Astyanax mexicanus: one gene and its partner. Each later gene encodes a partner of the first gene's protein in a complex. Links are inferred from orthologs where the notes say so. Each region holds a gene or a part of one and is shown on either strand. Other genes may lie near its edges. The genes, in order: espl1 and pttg1.

Evidence for each region.
Region 2: the proteins of espl1 (region 1) and pttg1 are in contact, whole or in part, in a cryo-EM structure (PDB 7NJ1), measured with the Homo sapiens proteins. The link is inferred for Astyanax mexicanus from reciprocal best matches to the Homo sapiens genes ESPL1 and PTTG1. Residues at the interface, in NP_036423.4 of Homo sapiens: His402, Thr405, Val406, Tyr409, Ser461, Asn462, Tyr465, Tyr468, Arg505, Arg508, Glu512, Glu544, Thr547, Phe548, Arg551, Gln590, Lys593, Ala594, Val595, Arg596, Thr599, Gly600, Arg603, Gln634, Cys637, Tyr638, Trp683, Ile686, Glu690, Ile697; in NP_001269311.1 of Homo sapiens: Tyr111, Pro112, Glu113, Ile114, Glu115, Lys116, Phe117, Phe118, Pro119, Phe120, Asn121, Pro122, Leu123, Phe125, Glu126, Ser127, Phe128, Asp129, Leu130, Pro131, Glu132, Glu133, His134, Gln135, Ile136, Ala137, His138, Leu139, Pro140, Leu141.

The regions. Positions count from the first base shown.
Region 1 is NC_064412.1:17,117,455-17,125,343, reverse strand, and holds the start of espl1 (separin), read right to left. Parts: upstream 3,168-7,889; 5' UTR 3,013-3,167; intron 944-3,012; 5' UTR 925-943; coding exon 844-924; intron 735-843; coding exon 429-734; intron 15-428; coding exon 1-14. Other genes in the region: itgb7 (integrin beta-7), read right to left, coding at 6,013-6,081, 6,201-6,361, 7,371-7,561, 7,694-7,889. UniProt on the Homo sapiens protein: Caspase-like protease, which plays a central role in the chromosome segregation by cleaving the SCC1/RAD21 subunit of the cohesin complex at the onset of anaphase. During most of the cell cycle, it is inactivated by different mechanisms.
Region 2 is NC_064417.1:50,022,371-50,029,477, reverse strand, and holds the start of pttg1 (securin), read right to left. Parts: upstream 3,276-7,107; 5' UTR 3,120-3,275; intron 1,047-3,119; 5' UTR 1,038-1,046; coding exon 950-1,037; intron 161-949; coding exon 9-160; intron 1-8. Other genes in the region: gamma-aminobutyric acid receptor subunit pi, read right to left, coding at 5,255-5,584, 6,461-6,654. UniProt on the Homo sapiens protein: Regulatory protein, which plays a central role in chromosome stability, in the p53/TP53 pathway, and DNA repair. Probably acts by blocking the action of key proteins.

The DNA of each region.
Region 1 (7,889 bases):
CTCAAGGCTTCAGCCTGTCAAACATCACATACATATTATAAACATTTTGCTATTACATACATATTACCAAATTTACATTTAAAAAGACATTTATTTCTGAAGTTTGCTTTCTGATTTTTGCTCTGAACCTACAAGGTTAACAAAACAGCCAATGGAGTGATGTAACATGGAAAAACTGATGTGAGAAAATATTGGTCTAATAATAAATAAGATGTGACACGACCACCTATGTGATTTCTGACACTGTATAACTGTAATAAAAAATGGCAAATAGAATCATGCTACCTGGAGACAGACAGTCTTTCACTTGCTACTGACTGCTGGCTACCTTAATCCCAGACTAAATACTCATACTTTAGTCTCATAGCAAAGTTGCTTTATCACCCCTTTGAAATCAAGGATCTTTTAAACGAAATCTATCTGCATACCTCTGTGGAGTATGTCTGCAGTCTGTGGTACATGAGCTCCCCAAGTCGACTGGCTGGGCCATGAGCTCCTTGACTAACCAACTTCTGCAAGATGTGGAAGATTATTTTCTCAAGGTAAAGTGGGCATCCCGATACAGCAGGGTCAGCATTCAAGCCATAACCTTTTACTGCCAACTCTACAAGATCCACCAGACGCCCTTGATGATCTGGCTGTAGAGGTCCACTGCCAAGCCTCTGGTTGCATGCTCGAATAATCCGGTCACAAACTGTTCGCCCCCAAGGTCCAAGATCTTCATTCACGTGTTTCTATAACAAAATACAGCAGAGACAATTTGAGGCCTATACTTAAAATGTTCAGAATAGATTACATACTTTACACTACTAATCCAAATTAATTAATTTGTTTTTAACTTACCTTCAACTCATCATGAAGAAGAACAGTGTCCTTTATAGAGGATATCCGTTGTACGTACTCATCTGTTTTTAGACATTTCATTCTTCCTTTTCGGCTCTTGCTGCAACAGACAGTGATTTTGTTAAGCCATATAATTCTAGTCTATGCAAGATCATATACATAAATACAGATCAGAAGATGAAGAAAGATTATAAAACTTAAATTTTAATGCAAAATGCGACGGGGAACATTTCATTCCCTTTAACAAACTAACAGAAGCACACCAAGAAATTAGCCATAATATTCCTTAAGCAAGTTTTTCTACCAACAAATTTGTCTACTTTTGCAGACAACATGGTTTAAAAGTAACCTAAATCATTGTGAACAAAAGGCCATAAAATGCTAATTGTGGCTGTAAATACAGATGCATCAGTTTTAGTCAATATTTTAAACCAACATTTGCTGATGCATTTATTGTATTCTGGAAAAGGACCAAATGATGCAGGCCGCACTACTTTAATTAGCCAACATTAAGCAATTTGTAACAAAATGAAAACAAACTTTAGTAGACATCACTTATTTTATTATTTTATTACAGTTGGTTGAAAGCTATAATGTAAGGAAATGAAATTTTGTAGTGTGCGTCTGTCAGTCTTACATGTGTATTTCAGCATCAGCACATATATAGCCTACATGGGTAATATCGAATACAAGCACTGGCCCAGAATTCCCACACAGGTGCATCCCTAGCTGTATGGGAAGCCAAATGCTTTTCAAAGACTTGCCCAACTAGAAATCAACACATTGATAAATTGTGCCTATAAGATCTTGTAAGAGCTGTAAAAGCTAAATAAAACACGCAACATACGGATGTAGTAATGTGTTAAGTATCTGAGAACTGTTAACAAAATGTAAACAAATAAGACAATGGCATGGAAAAAGATTTTAAAACTGAAATATAATATATAATTTATCAGTAGGTAGTAGTAAGTAGAGGTGAACCATACAGTATTGTACGCAATAATATTGCCTACATTTTTGAATATCGCAAACAATATTATACCATGAAATATCTTGCCATATCATCCACCCCATTAGGGTACTACTTTTTTTGCTGTCTTAGCAAACATATATACCTACTAGAGACAGATTATAGCTGCCCGGTATAATTTACTTTACTTTACTTCAGTACTGAATATATAGAGATAGGTGGAGTGCAATATTAGTATCATGACATTCTGGATCATTGACTCCTGTTACAAATCATATAAAATTCTTGTATTCTTCATCTCCCAGGTAGGGGTGTACCATATCATATCGTATGCAATAATAACATTTTTAGTTATTTGATTTGCTGCAGCAGTGTATTCTCGAAATATGTTTAATTCAGTGTTTTGTCATCGCGAAGTGTATCGTTATCGCAAAAATTCCATTATATATCGTGATATTTTTTAGGGCCATAAAAAAACATGAACAGGCTTGCGACAAAGTACAGCTGGACTTCCTGACAGAAGGTGAGAAACCTATGATAGGCAGCTAAAGTAAATTTAACTTAGTTTGCTAGTGTAGCATTAGCATGTAAATAAGAACATTTCTATAGACCGATAACTAATTGATCTAGAGTTTTCTTGTTTCAGTTTAATACAACCGCGCTGTACTGACAGAATGGCAGCTTAGTGTTTACACTAAGTGTTTAGTAACTTACTTCCCATATAGCCAGACAATAAAAAATATAGCTAACGTTACCTGGTTGTTTACAATTAAAGCAAGCTAGGCTAGTTAGTTTACATATCTAACGTTAGCTTGCTATCCAGCTGATTTACAGCAAAACAATAGAATTCAAAATAAAAAGACATAACTAAACCAGCCGGTAAGTGACACTTGTGTTTGGGCTTAGGGTTCAAGTACTAAAGCTTTATCTTAGCTAGGGTTATATGGAGCCCATGGTGATTTAAAGCTAGCTAGCTATGCGTCACAAACGCTTTGAAATGTGTCCACTTTAATTCATGAAGTCCCTAAACTGTTAGCGACAGCTAACCTAGCCAGGTAGCTAGTTAACTAGCCAAGCTAACCTAGCTAACGCTAACTAAGGTAACTCCATCTTAGCTAGCGTTTGCTAACGGTTAACTTAGCTTAGTTAGCTGAAACCAGGACGAGCAGAACAGCGGTATGGATAACATTATCACTTACCGTACTCCTGAGAAATGACCTTATTTATACGAAACTGTTTTTATAATGTTTCTATTAACAAACGTTTCAGCGACACTGCTGTAATTCACACATAGCACTAGATAGAGCCGTGAACCGAACAAACAGGGCGACGCGCACTTATTCAAAATAGCGCACAGCTTGTCGGGAAATGTAGGACTTGCATTATGGGTATTGTAGTACAGAAAGCTTTGGGTTTCACCAGAGAAACTGTAAAGGAGAATACCCAGTTAAGAACCTATGTTGGTTTCTCTGACCGGTGTTCTGTCGATTTGTGCTACCCGTTCAAATCGCGCTGCCGCAGTGTATATTAACTTATAGAAAAAAATAACGTAAATAAAACAGCAGGCAGGATATCTCAATAAGGCATTCTCAATCAGAGAATGCTACAAGCTGAAGTACAGGCAGCATATATGACTGGCCTAAAGCAGTAAATCTTGGTTTCTCAAAGGGTTCTGGGGTACTAATTTTCTCTTTCATGAGGTCTCCTGTGCTTTTATTCCCGTCCAAAATGACAATGTATGTGTTTTTCTCAGACATCCTCTGAGAAAATTCCAGGTTGAATTACCTACTGTTTTTCTCTGAACTCTGTGATCGTAAGGTAATTTTTGACCTGTCTGGACTGACATCCCTGAGTTTTACCTCACATTTAATAGACTAGCTATTTGTCCACTTCTACGCACTGTAATTCCACTTTGGGTGTGTGTTTCCACGGAGATCCACGTAAACACAACAGCAAGTGGAAATGGAGGAGCTACTGAACACGATGTCACGTGACCGAGAAAGCCAAAAAACTCACTGGTCCTCCTGTTTTTTTTTCAATTGCACTCTGGATGCCAAGTTTTATCACCGAGTAGAAGTGTGAAACATTTTTCACAGAAGAATCCCATCTGGATAGGGCTTAAGTGTGATATATTTTTATTCTTTTTACTCTTGTTACATTGAAGAAAATAATAAAAGCCAACCAGTAAACCTAGATTATATAATCCGCCCAAGGAAAACACAATTAGTTAAAAAACACTTGTAAGCATTTAAAAACCGTGGTTTAGCGCATGCGCAGGGATGCTAAGTAGCACATATCAACGGGTAGCATAAATCAACAAAACACTGGCCGTGCTCCCGAGAGTCCAAAATGAATGGGTTCATATGGAGCAACAGAGCAAAATCATAGTTTATAGCTAAATAATAATAATCATTATAATAAATAATGTTCATACTGAACAATATACTTGTTTCTTAATACAAAACAATATAAAACGTTTCAGTACTGCAGACATATTTTTTAAAGCTTTAAAACTCATGTTAAAAACCTTTCAATCAAACCAGTAAGCTCACAATAGCAGTAACGCTAGCGTCTCAAACAGAGAATCACTTACAGAGAGGAGCATATCCAGCCCAGAACGGCCCATCTCCTGGGTTTGTTTGACCACCAGAGGGCGCGCCCTGATGGGCCCCAAAATAAGTGGGTTCATATGGGGCTACTGACCAAATTTAGAGTTTATAAATGTTTAATAATTTTCATACTGAACATTGTACTCATTTTCTCAAAACAGAACAATATTAAATGTTTTACTACTGCAAACATATTTAAAGCTTTTAAACTCAACAATTATAAACCTTACTGAGCTGTCTATTCTACATTAATTTGTATTACAACAGTAAGCTCTGTGTATTAGGGGTGGGCAACAATAATCACAATTTCTTTTATAATTTTTTTTAAATTCAATTTTTAGTAAAACATTTTTTAATATTAAGTACGAAAAAATTAACTCCGTCTTCATCAGTAAAAATCAATGTTAGCCAATGTTAATCTTTAAGCTCATGCAAATAAAATTCTTTAGAGAGAATATAAAACATATTAATAATACATAAAGCTGTATTTAATTAAACTAATATAATGTATATATTATAACTATCTATGATAATTGTCAAATACATTCTATAAACAGGGAATATTCCTTTGGGGTTCTATATATTTTAATAAACAAAATTTACATGCACTTCATTGTGATCTCCAATGTGCAAAAAAATAAACTTTAAATAGTCCATTAAAAATCAGCAAAATAGGTATATATAAATGACATATACACAGCAACTTAGAAACACAGTCACTTAACCTTTAATATAAGTCAGTGTTAAAGGGGATTATTTAAATTTAAGTTTGGATCATTTCTATTAATCCATCAAGTGTAAAGAATAGTGTGTTTGTTCAAATGATGTAGAAAACTAAAAAAATCAACAAAAATAAAGATACTTGTTTTTCATTGGATAGCTGCGATATACGTTTCAGTCACAAGAGGTGGGGAAACCCAGTCACATGATTAGGCACAAGCAATCTGAACTTGTGATTTGTTTGAGTAAAACTGATAAAAGCCTGATTTAAACATTAAGAACTTCATTTTGTTTTTGAAGCATTATTGGTTGATTTCTGTTCCAATGTGTGAACCTGGCAACCTACCAGGACACGGCAGACCAGCAGAGTGCAATATAATTATGACTAATTATGAAAGGGGCTATTAAAAAATATAGATTGAGGAAAAATCAGTGACACAACAAGCACAACATCCAAACTCGAGACTTGTACCTCTGTGACTTACTCTCACATTACAGGTAACATCATTCAGTGCCTCGATAATAATAAAAATAATATATAGAATATGAAATGATTTTAGAGCTCACACTTAAAGCTGCTTATCATTTTGCATGCTGCAAAAAACATGTAAAAATAAAAAAACTGATTAACATTAAACTTGCATGTACATCTTAAATGCGCTTTCAATCAGAATGACAAATACATCTGTATGTATAATAATTTATGTTACTGGTTATGGAAATATGCAGCCTATATGTTACTCTGTAAAGCCTGTATAAAGTATTGGTGTATTACAAAACACTGCAAAAATGATACAATCAGAATAGAATACACAGACATATTAATCACATTGACACACTCTCCAGTTCCTTCCTTACAGTCGTGATGCTTTAGCTGTCCTGTGAATGCAGAGGGTTGAGCACTGTTGTTGTGGCTCCTTGGAACAGTGGATTATTAGTCTGAAAGACAGTGAAGGTGAAAGGATAAATATTGAGACAATCTAGCAGAGCACCTAATATTTCTGAAAGAAGATTATAATTTATGGAAACAAGTAAATGAGTAAGCAAATAAAGAGAACCTCTTTCCAATCAGTTTGCTGCTGAGCCTTGATGAAGCTGCGGTATTCCCTCAGATCATAAAGCTCCAGCAGGACTTTGTAGATGATGATAATTGCAATGCCAATAAAAACAATGGCTGATACTGACGTGCCAATGATTATCTTGGTTTTATCAACCGTGCCTATGAACCAGAGGGACAAAAACTGATTATCTGAACATGCATAATTGTTTTACTTGTATAAACATTATTTTATAAGTGGTATTGTTTTTTTGTTGTGAGTGTTAAAAAAAACATTAAAATACTTTTAAAGGGAACTTATGCTCAAAATGCTGCTCATTCAAGACAGTGATGATTACAAACACTTATTTAAACCAATCAACTCAAAACACACAATTAAGAGTTCCTTTGTTCTCTATGGATGAACTGATCCACGCACAATAGGAACAAGGAGTTGAACCGCACACCACATACACTAACATCCCACTCATATACACTATATTGCCAAAAGTATCTGCTCATCTGCCTTCAGTTTGCCTTGAGCTAATCTGAAAATACATGAAGTTTGGAGGTCTGTAGTGATCAACTACAGTTGGATTCTCTGTGGACTGTGCTGTGGACTGTGTGTCCACTCTGGTATTTTATGTTGACGGAGCGAGTTGCATGTCCACTGTGTAATAATAATACTGACAGTTGACTGTGGTATATTTAGTAGTGAGAAAATTCCACAAATGGGCTTGTTGCACAGATGGCGTCCTATCACAGTACCACGCTGGAATTCACTGAGCTCCCGAGAGTGACCCAAACGTTCATGATTTGAATGGGTGAGTGAATACTTTTGGCAAAATAGTATATATTTATATACATATAACTTTATTATTTGTTTATTTGAAAGTAAACAAACAAATAATAGTTAACCATTTTAAATTCCCACCCTATTACAGAATGGTAGTAGTGCTGGAAGAATAAAGGCTACAGTATTTATTGAATCCATTGTTTTGACCTGTTTCATGTACCTGTTTCAGAAGGTTATGGGTTGGCCTATGCTATGCCTGTCTGCCTGCATTGTGACCTCTTAAATGGAATGGCTTATGCTGCCTTCCTTAACCATTAAGAGTTGTAATGAAAACCTGCAGTCAAAGTGAACTATTGCAGCTAAGACGAGTGTAGGCAGGTGAGTGTAAGAACTTACCTGGCAGATTAGCGTACTGGATCTTCACTGTGCCGTCATTGTTCAGCGTCACGTCATAAATGACATCCTTATGCACACATGGCAGCTCATGATTGTCCTTCAGGTGGACCATCTGAACTGCCTCACAAGCCACAGAGCAGTTAGACGAGCGACTATAAAGCTCACTCTGGACTGTACAATCCACACATTTTCTATAAATATCACAGATATACACACAACAGAGCTAAATCAGTATCTAAATAAAACATATTTCAGTGCTGAATACTCAGCAAATGAAAGAACAGTAAAGAACATTAAAATTAATTTGACAAACAGATACTTACACATATGTTTGGCATGGAGAGACAAGATCGGAGCAATGCTGTCCCACAAAACCAGGATTACACTCACACTGGTTACACCTACACTTCCCATGGCCGCTACACAATAGTCCGTGCTCATTCTGACACATTTTTTTGTCTGTTGAGCAGCCACATGCACGGCCCTCGTAACCTGACTCAGTGCAATCACAGGTACCAC
Region 2 (7,107 bases), on another chromosome or scaffold:
TAACCAACCTGGGCTTCAACAGGTTTAACCTGCGCTTCACCTTTCTGAGAGACTGCTGAGGTGGACACAATCTTGTTAACTGTTCCCAAAGCTTTACGGGCCGACTGTACAGATCCACCAAGACGGCTCTTCAGGTGTAGAGGAGTTTTCAGAACCTGTTCTGTAAAAATTAAAAAGGAAACTGATCAGGATCAGAAAAGGAATCAGATCAATTAAATTCATTAAATGTGCATGTGTGACACACTAAGGGCTACAATACATGAATTATAGGAGTGACCGTATATTATCCTTTATTATCTATTATTTAAATACTGCAATTTGGTAAATACAATACATCCAATTATTTTAAATAAGTTAGACATATGACTTTAGCATCCAGGCATCTGTACAAGGTTGCATAAATCATAAGTCTAGTGCTGTTAGACAGCCAGTGTTGTTTATTTAGCAATTTGATCAGTAGATTTAGCAACTTTTCAGACCAATCTTACAAATTATATATTATATTATATTATATTATATTATATTATATTATATTATATTATATGACCTTTAACTCTCTGAATTGAACTTGTGGCATTCTACCTAATAGATTAATAATGGTATCTATACAGATATCTATACAGCTTAATCTATCAATTAAAACAAACAAATAAACAAATAAATAAATAAATACATCTCAGTAACTCAGTTTTTCGGGAGTTAAAGTGAGGTTTTGGGTCCCATTTTCACACACTGTAAATTTGATACTCAAGGAAACATTTAATGGATTAAAAGGTTCCCTTAAGAAAGCCCTCAGATAACTTCTTAGGCAACACACTTATCAACAAGGGATGATCATTAAGAGCATTAAAGCCTTTCATGCAACCAGGCACTGGTCCTTGGTGTTGTTACTATAGTGAGCAAAATTTCACTTTATGAGCACTTCATTCCCAGGTGTATCTAAGCTCACCAGGTGCAGACTGAAGCCTCTGTCGAGATTTGAGGTTGGGAGCGGTGAGCCTGCCGTTTTCTTGGTCGAGGTAAATCATGGTATCCATGGTGTTTCACTAAAAGAAGAATATTTAAAAGAAATACTTAGAACAAGTGAACAAATCACAAAAATTAACTACAATAATTTCTGAATAATCTAGCCAGCCAATATTTTTACCTTTAAATAAACACTGCAGTAGCACGGTTTGACAATGTAGCACACATTGACAAGACACCGGTTCTTTTTATTCTTGTAGTTATTATTTTGTTATGTTTATTAGTTTCAAAGTAATCGCAAAGTACAGGAAAACAGCACACATATATACATATATATACATACATACACACATACACTGTATGTATGTGTGTATGTATGTATGTATGTATGTATGTATAAATAAAGCAACTTCGCTACTAGTACTAAAAGACTATATGAAATAAGACAATGTTAACCTACATTTAAATGTTATACTGCCTTGTCCCACATTTCATAGTATAAGGCACACGTTGGATTAAAATAATGGACATAAAGGACACTTCTTCCATTAAAGAGTTTTCCCATACAGTTAAAGCTGGCTGTGGCTCTTTATGTTATGGTCTTGCCTCTACGGTGGCCGAGAAAGCCCAACGCAGTGCAAATTGAAAAGCGCTGCAAAAGCACAAAACACATCCATCAAAATTACAACACAGGCGCTGCAACTAGAAAAACGCGCTGCAAATAGAACCACAACACAACGGAAGTGAGTCACAACACAACGGAATTTTCCCGGGGGACCTTAAAAGATATACCAGCTAAGCTGCGTCTTCAGTAACGTCTCGGACTTCACTATGTGTACAAAGGACAATAAGTGGCAAACAAGGCGTTTTGTGAAGCAGAACTTTTAATAATATGCACACAACCGTGGTAATCACAGGTAATAAACATAACTTACTTTTCAGAAGCTTGTTTGCCACTTATTGTCCTTTGTATACAGCTGGTACAGCATCTTTTAAGGTCCCCCGGGAAAATTCCGTTGTGTTGTGACTCACTTCCGTTGTGTTGTGGTTCTATTTGCAGCGCGTTTTTCTATTTGCTGCGCCTGTGTTGTAATTTTGATGGATGTGTTTTGTGCTTTTGCAGCGCTTTTCAATTTGCACTGCGCTGGGCTTTCTCGGCCACCGTACTTGCCCCATGTGTAGTAGGTTAGCTACATCTTAACTAGGCTATAAGTTCGAGTAAAATGAACATTGTTGTTTTATTCTATAAACTACGGACAACATTTCTCCCAAATACCAAATAAAAATGTTGTCAATTAGAGCATTTATTTGCAAAAAAAAAAAAAATTGAAATAGCTGAAATAACAAAATAAAAAGATGCAGAGCGTTCAGACCTCAAATAATGCAAAAAGAAAAATACGTTCATATTCATAAAGTTAGGAGTTCAAAAATTATTATTTGGTAAAATAACCCTGGTTTTTAACCACAGTTTTCATTCATTTGCATGTTCTCCTCCACCAGTCTTACACACTGCTTTTGGATAACTTTATGCTGCTTTACTCCTGGTGCAAAAATCTATTCAAGCAGTTCAGTTTTTCAGGTTTTATGGCTTGTGATCATCCATCTTCCTCTTGCTTATATTCCAGAGGTTTTCAATTTGGTAAAAATCTAAGAACTTATTATTTTTATGTTGGTCTCCTATTTTTATACATTTTTTCGTTCTGCTGGAAAAAAAAAAATCCCTGATGTGGGAATAATAAAGTCAAATTTAGCTATGTAACATATTAAACGTTATCTTAATATATGACTTTCTCTAAGAATAATGATTTTAGGCTTTAAGTTACATCTGTATGTAAACTTAAAAGTAGTAACGTTAGCTAACATGATTTTATTGTCTGTATTAATAGGCAAGGAAACTATTTTTTACATATAACTTAAGCTAGTTTGTTTACAGACTGTCTCAATTTAAAAACAGAGAGAATATTGCTGGAAAAATGAGGTAAAGTCATCTAAAGTAATTAAATAATAAGTTAATAAGTAATTAAGTTTATAGAGATACTACGTTAACTGTTTCCCACTAAACTCACCCAGAATACACCTCAAAAACACTCAATAACAGCATAACACACAGCTACACACATCAACACGATGATAAACTATGTCTGTAAACTTACCAAACAGCGGATAATCCCCGATAAAGCGCAGAAATTTCGCAATAAATCGCAGTTTTCTCTCTGTAGATTAGTCAGGTTTCTCTCAGTAAATAAACGGACTTGTTTTGGTTTCAACTTTCCCGGTTTTAAACCCCAACTCGCCTCCTGATTGGCTGCTGCTCCGCCGCTCTTCCGCCGCGCTGTGTTCAGCTCTGTTTATTCTGCGGTGCTGCCGCCCTGGGGCCAGATCACACCACTGCGAGTTTATACAGCCATTATATACCATAAATTCTATTTATTATATTAATAGCAGAAATGTGTTCTTTTAAAGTAAAAAAGCATACCTGTCCTGATTATTTTTTTTTATAAACATTTACTAACCTTTAAAAAATACGGACGACAAAAAAATGACATACGTATAAATAAATAAATGCACATATATATATAACATGAATAAATATATAAAAACATGAACACACGCATAAATAGTTGTAGAGATAAATAAATTAATAAATACATGTTGAAAAACGACACACTTAAAATTATAATTAATTTTATAATATATCATTTTATAATTAAATAATTATTTCCATATTTTAATGCGTCAATATTAATTTATTCTACATTTATTTATTTGTTTCAACATTTGAACATTTATTTATTCATGTATTTCCACATTTCTTCATATATTATTTATTATTTATTTATTTATTTATTTATTTATTTCCACTTTTCATTTATTTCAGTATTTCTGCATTTGTATGTTAATTAGGTAGCTCTAAAGCAGGATTGGTCAACTGCTGAATCAGACGAAAGCAACTGGTTTCTTACTGCTCTAATGCAAATGAAACGCAAATTGAAATAAATTAATTAATATATAAATAAAAGCAGAAAAAAATAAATAAATAAATGTAGAAATACGTAAATTAATAAATCTATAAATACATAAAATGTATTTATTAATTCATGTATTTATCTATACATTTATTTATTTATTTAATCACTCCTTCATTTATATGTGCATTTGTTTATTTATACTCATGTCAGTTTTCATCCTCCTTTAAAAAATGCTTTTACTGTGGTAATTTCCGCAGACACATCACAATATGCAGATCAGTCTATCAATAATATGACCCCCCTGCTGACATCCAGAGGTTTCCTGCTGCTGCAGCTCAGCCAATCAGCTCTCCCTCCTGCCCCACCTCTAAACCCATACATCACTCAGTGCCCCTCCCAAACTTCCCCTCCCATTTTTTGCCTTTTTTAAATTTAAGCTGAGGGTGAAGTCAGCAAAAATCAGAAGGTTAAGTAACCCTTTAAACACCTGAAATAAGAGTCAGAAACGGCAAAATGCAAACAAAACTGCCATAACCGCCAATATTCAGCATATAAGCAACATTACAGCACCAATCAGCTCACAGTTGCAGTAATGCTACTGTACAAAAAATGGAAAAATACAGGTATGTTTTCTTTGATTATTTAGAGAAATACATAAATTTACTTCCCAAAATTAATGAAATACATTAGATAAGTAGTTAGTTACTATTTTTAAATAAGTGCTTAGCATTTAAGCTCCATTCAACAACATTTAACTCATTGGTATGATTTTCTGTGATAATAATGGAGATGGGAAATGGGCAGTTTCTCTATAAACCGTCTCTGGGTGAAAGTCAATAAAACCCCAAAAATTCAAGCAAACAAACAGTAAGTCGATTGATAGTTTAATAAGTATTAATAAATGAATCATATTGCAGCCTATACAGAAGTGCACAAACAGCATACACATGGAATTTATCAGCCAATAACAATCAGATTCCCTATGCTCAATCTTGCAATAAATAAATAAATAAATAAATAACTGTATACATTTTTAACGATGTAGAAACATGAAGGCCATTATATATATATATTATATGGAAGCCAACAACAACAAAAATACTGAATAGTCACTGAATTTTTTCCTTTGTGCTTGTGTTTGATTTGTGTGATCTGTTGTCTACGTTGTCGTCGTCTGTTGTTTGAATGGACTGCTGGTCCAGTTCAGCATTACAGGGCACTTAAAGACTTAAAGAGTGTTTTCAGTCGTGAGTTTAGTCCTCGGAGTCGCCGGGTTCACTAGGCCATTGTGCGTAGATGAGTCCAGTGCGTCTGTTTGATTAGATGAAAAGGTAATACAGCCAGTATAAGATGTTGACCAGGAGAAACGCCACAGGGAACAGGGTGCGGGAGTGGCGGTCGATGTTGTGGGGGTTCTCCACGCTCATCATGGACGCCGCCCTGCGCGACGCCTGCTTCACCGAGGACAGACCACAGCCGTTCCCCTGCTTATTCTCTGTTTGCTCGTCTCCCTCAGACTGCACAGACTGCACAGACTGCTCGCTCATCTCTGGCTGTGTTTCTTTGCTCAGGGCTTTGTTGGGTGTGGTGGACGTCACTAATTGGATGGTGCCGTTTCCATTCGACTCCTCAAACTCCTTCAGAAGCTCCTGAGACAAAGTGAATAATATAAGTAAACAAAATTGTAGTAAGTTATACTTTAAAGCATTGAATTGTCATAATAAAACAAATGTAATTGTCATTTTTAATGGTTTATGTCTTTAAGAAAAAATAGAAAATACTTGAAAAGTTATTTTATTTCAATAATTCAGTTTAAAATGTGAAACTCATATATTATATAGATAATACTATTACCCACAAATGTATCTATTTTAGGCATGTATTTATTTCATTGTTGATGATTGTGCCTTACAGCCAAAAATAAAATAAAAATGATTATTATATAAGACCAATTTATACTTTTTAGCAGTGTGGGCAGTGTGCCAATTCCTGCTGGAAAATGAAATCCGCATCTCTATAAAAGTTGTCAGTAGCAGAGGGAAGCATGAAGTGCTGTAAGATTTTGTGGGAAAACAAAACTGCACTGACTTTAGACTTGATAATAAAACACAGTGGATCAACACCAGCAGATGACAGACATGTCTCTCCAAACCATCACTGATTGGTGGAAACTTCACACTAGACCTCGAGCAGCTTGGACGGTGTGTCTCTCCACTCTTCCTCCAGACTCTGATCTCTTGATTTACAAATGAAATGTAAAATTTACTGATGATCAGTGATGGTTTGGAGAGACATGTCTGTCATCTGCTGGTGTTGATCCACTGTGTTTTATTATCAAGTCCAAAGTCAGTGCAGTGTTTTCCCAATTGGTGGTATATAATGTTAAAATTTTCTGAGACACTGATTTTTAGGTTTTCATTGGCTGTAAGCCATAATAATCAACAATAAAATAAATAAAGACTTAAAATAGATCACTCTGTGTGTAATAAATATTTATATATGTAAAATATACACAGAACACTTACCCTCTGTACATCTAGAATAGTTTGGTGCTGCATGGTGCAGAAATGTGCACAGGCGTACTCCAGCAGAGCTCCGAAGATGAAGGTGAAGCAAATACCAAGATAGACATCTATGGCCTTGATGAAGCAGTTGGCGTTGGGCAGTGATGTCCTGGCACCCATCATCAGAGTCGTCATCGTCAGAACTGTGGTCACTCCTGTGAAAAATACATATAATAGATAATAGATCACCAACTCTACCTCTTCACAACTTTACAACTGATGCTCTCAAACACTTTAAGAGGCAAGAAATTGAAGTAATTAACTATTGATGAGTTCGGCACAGCTGTTAACTGAAAGCCTGAAATTCTAGGTGATCATCCTCATAAAACTGACTGAAATAAAGGGTCTAATTTAAGTTAAAATGTAAACATTTTTTACAATTTTTCATTTATAAAATAATTTCATATGTATTTCTGGTAACACTTTATTTTAAGGAACACAAATTAGGCGCTTATTAATGTCTTGTTATTTGCTTTAATTAGACATTTGTAAATTATTTATTCACTAATTATGAGGCTTTATTCTGTGTCATAAGTGTTATTGGTGCTGAATTAGGGGTCTATTATGTGGAAATTATTAATAATAGCTGTATTATTTCTTATAGTGCA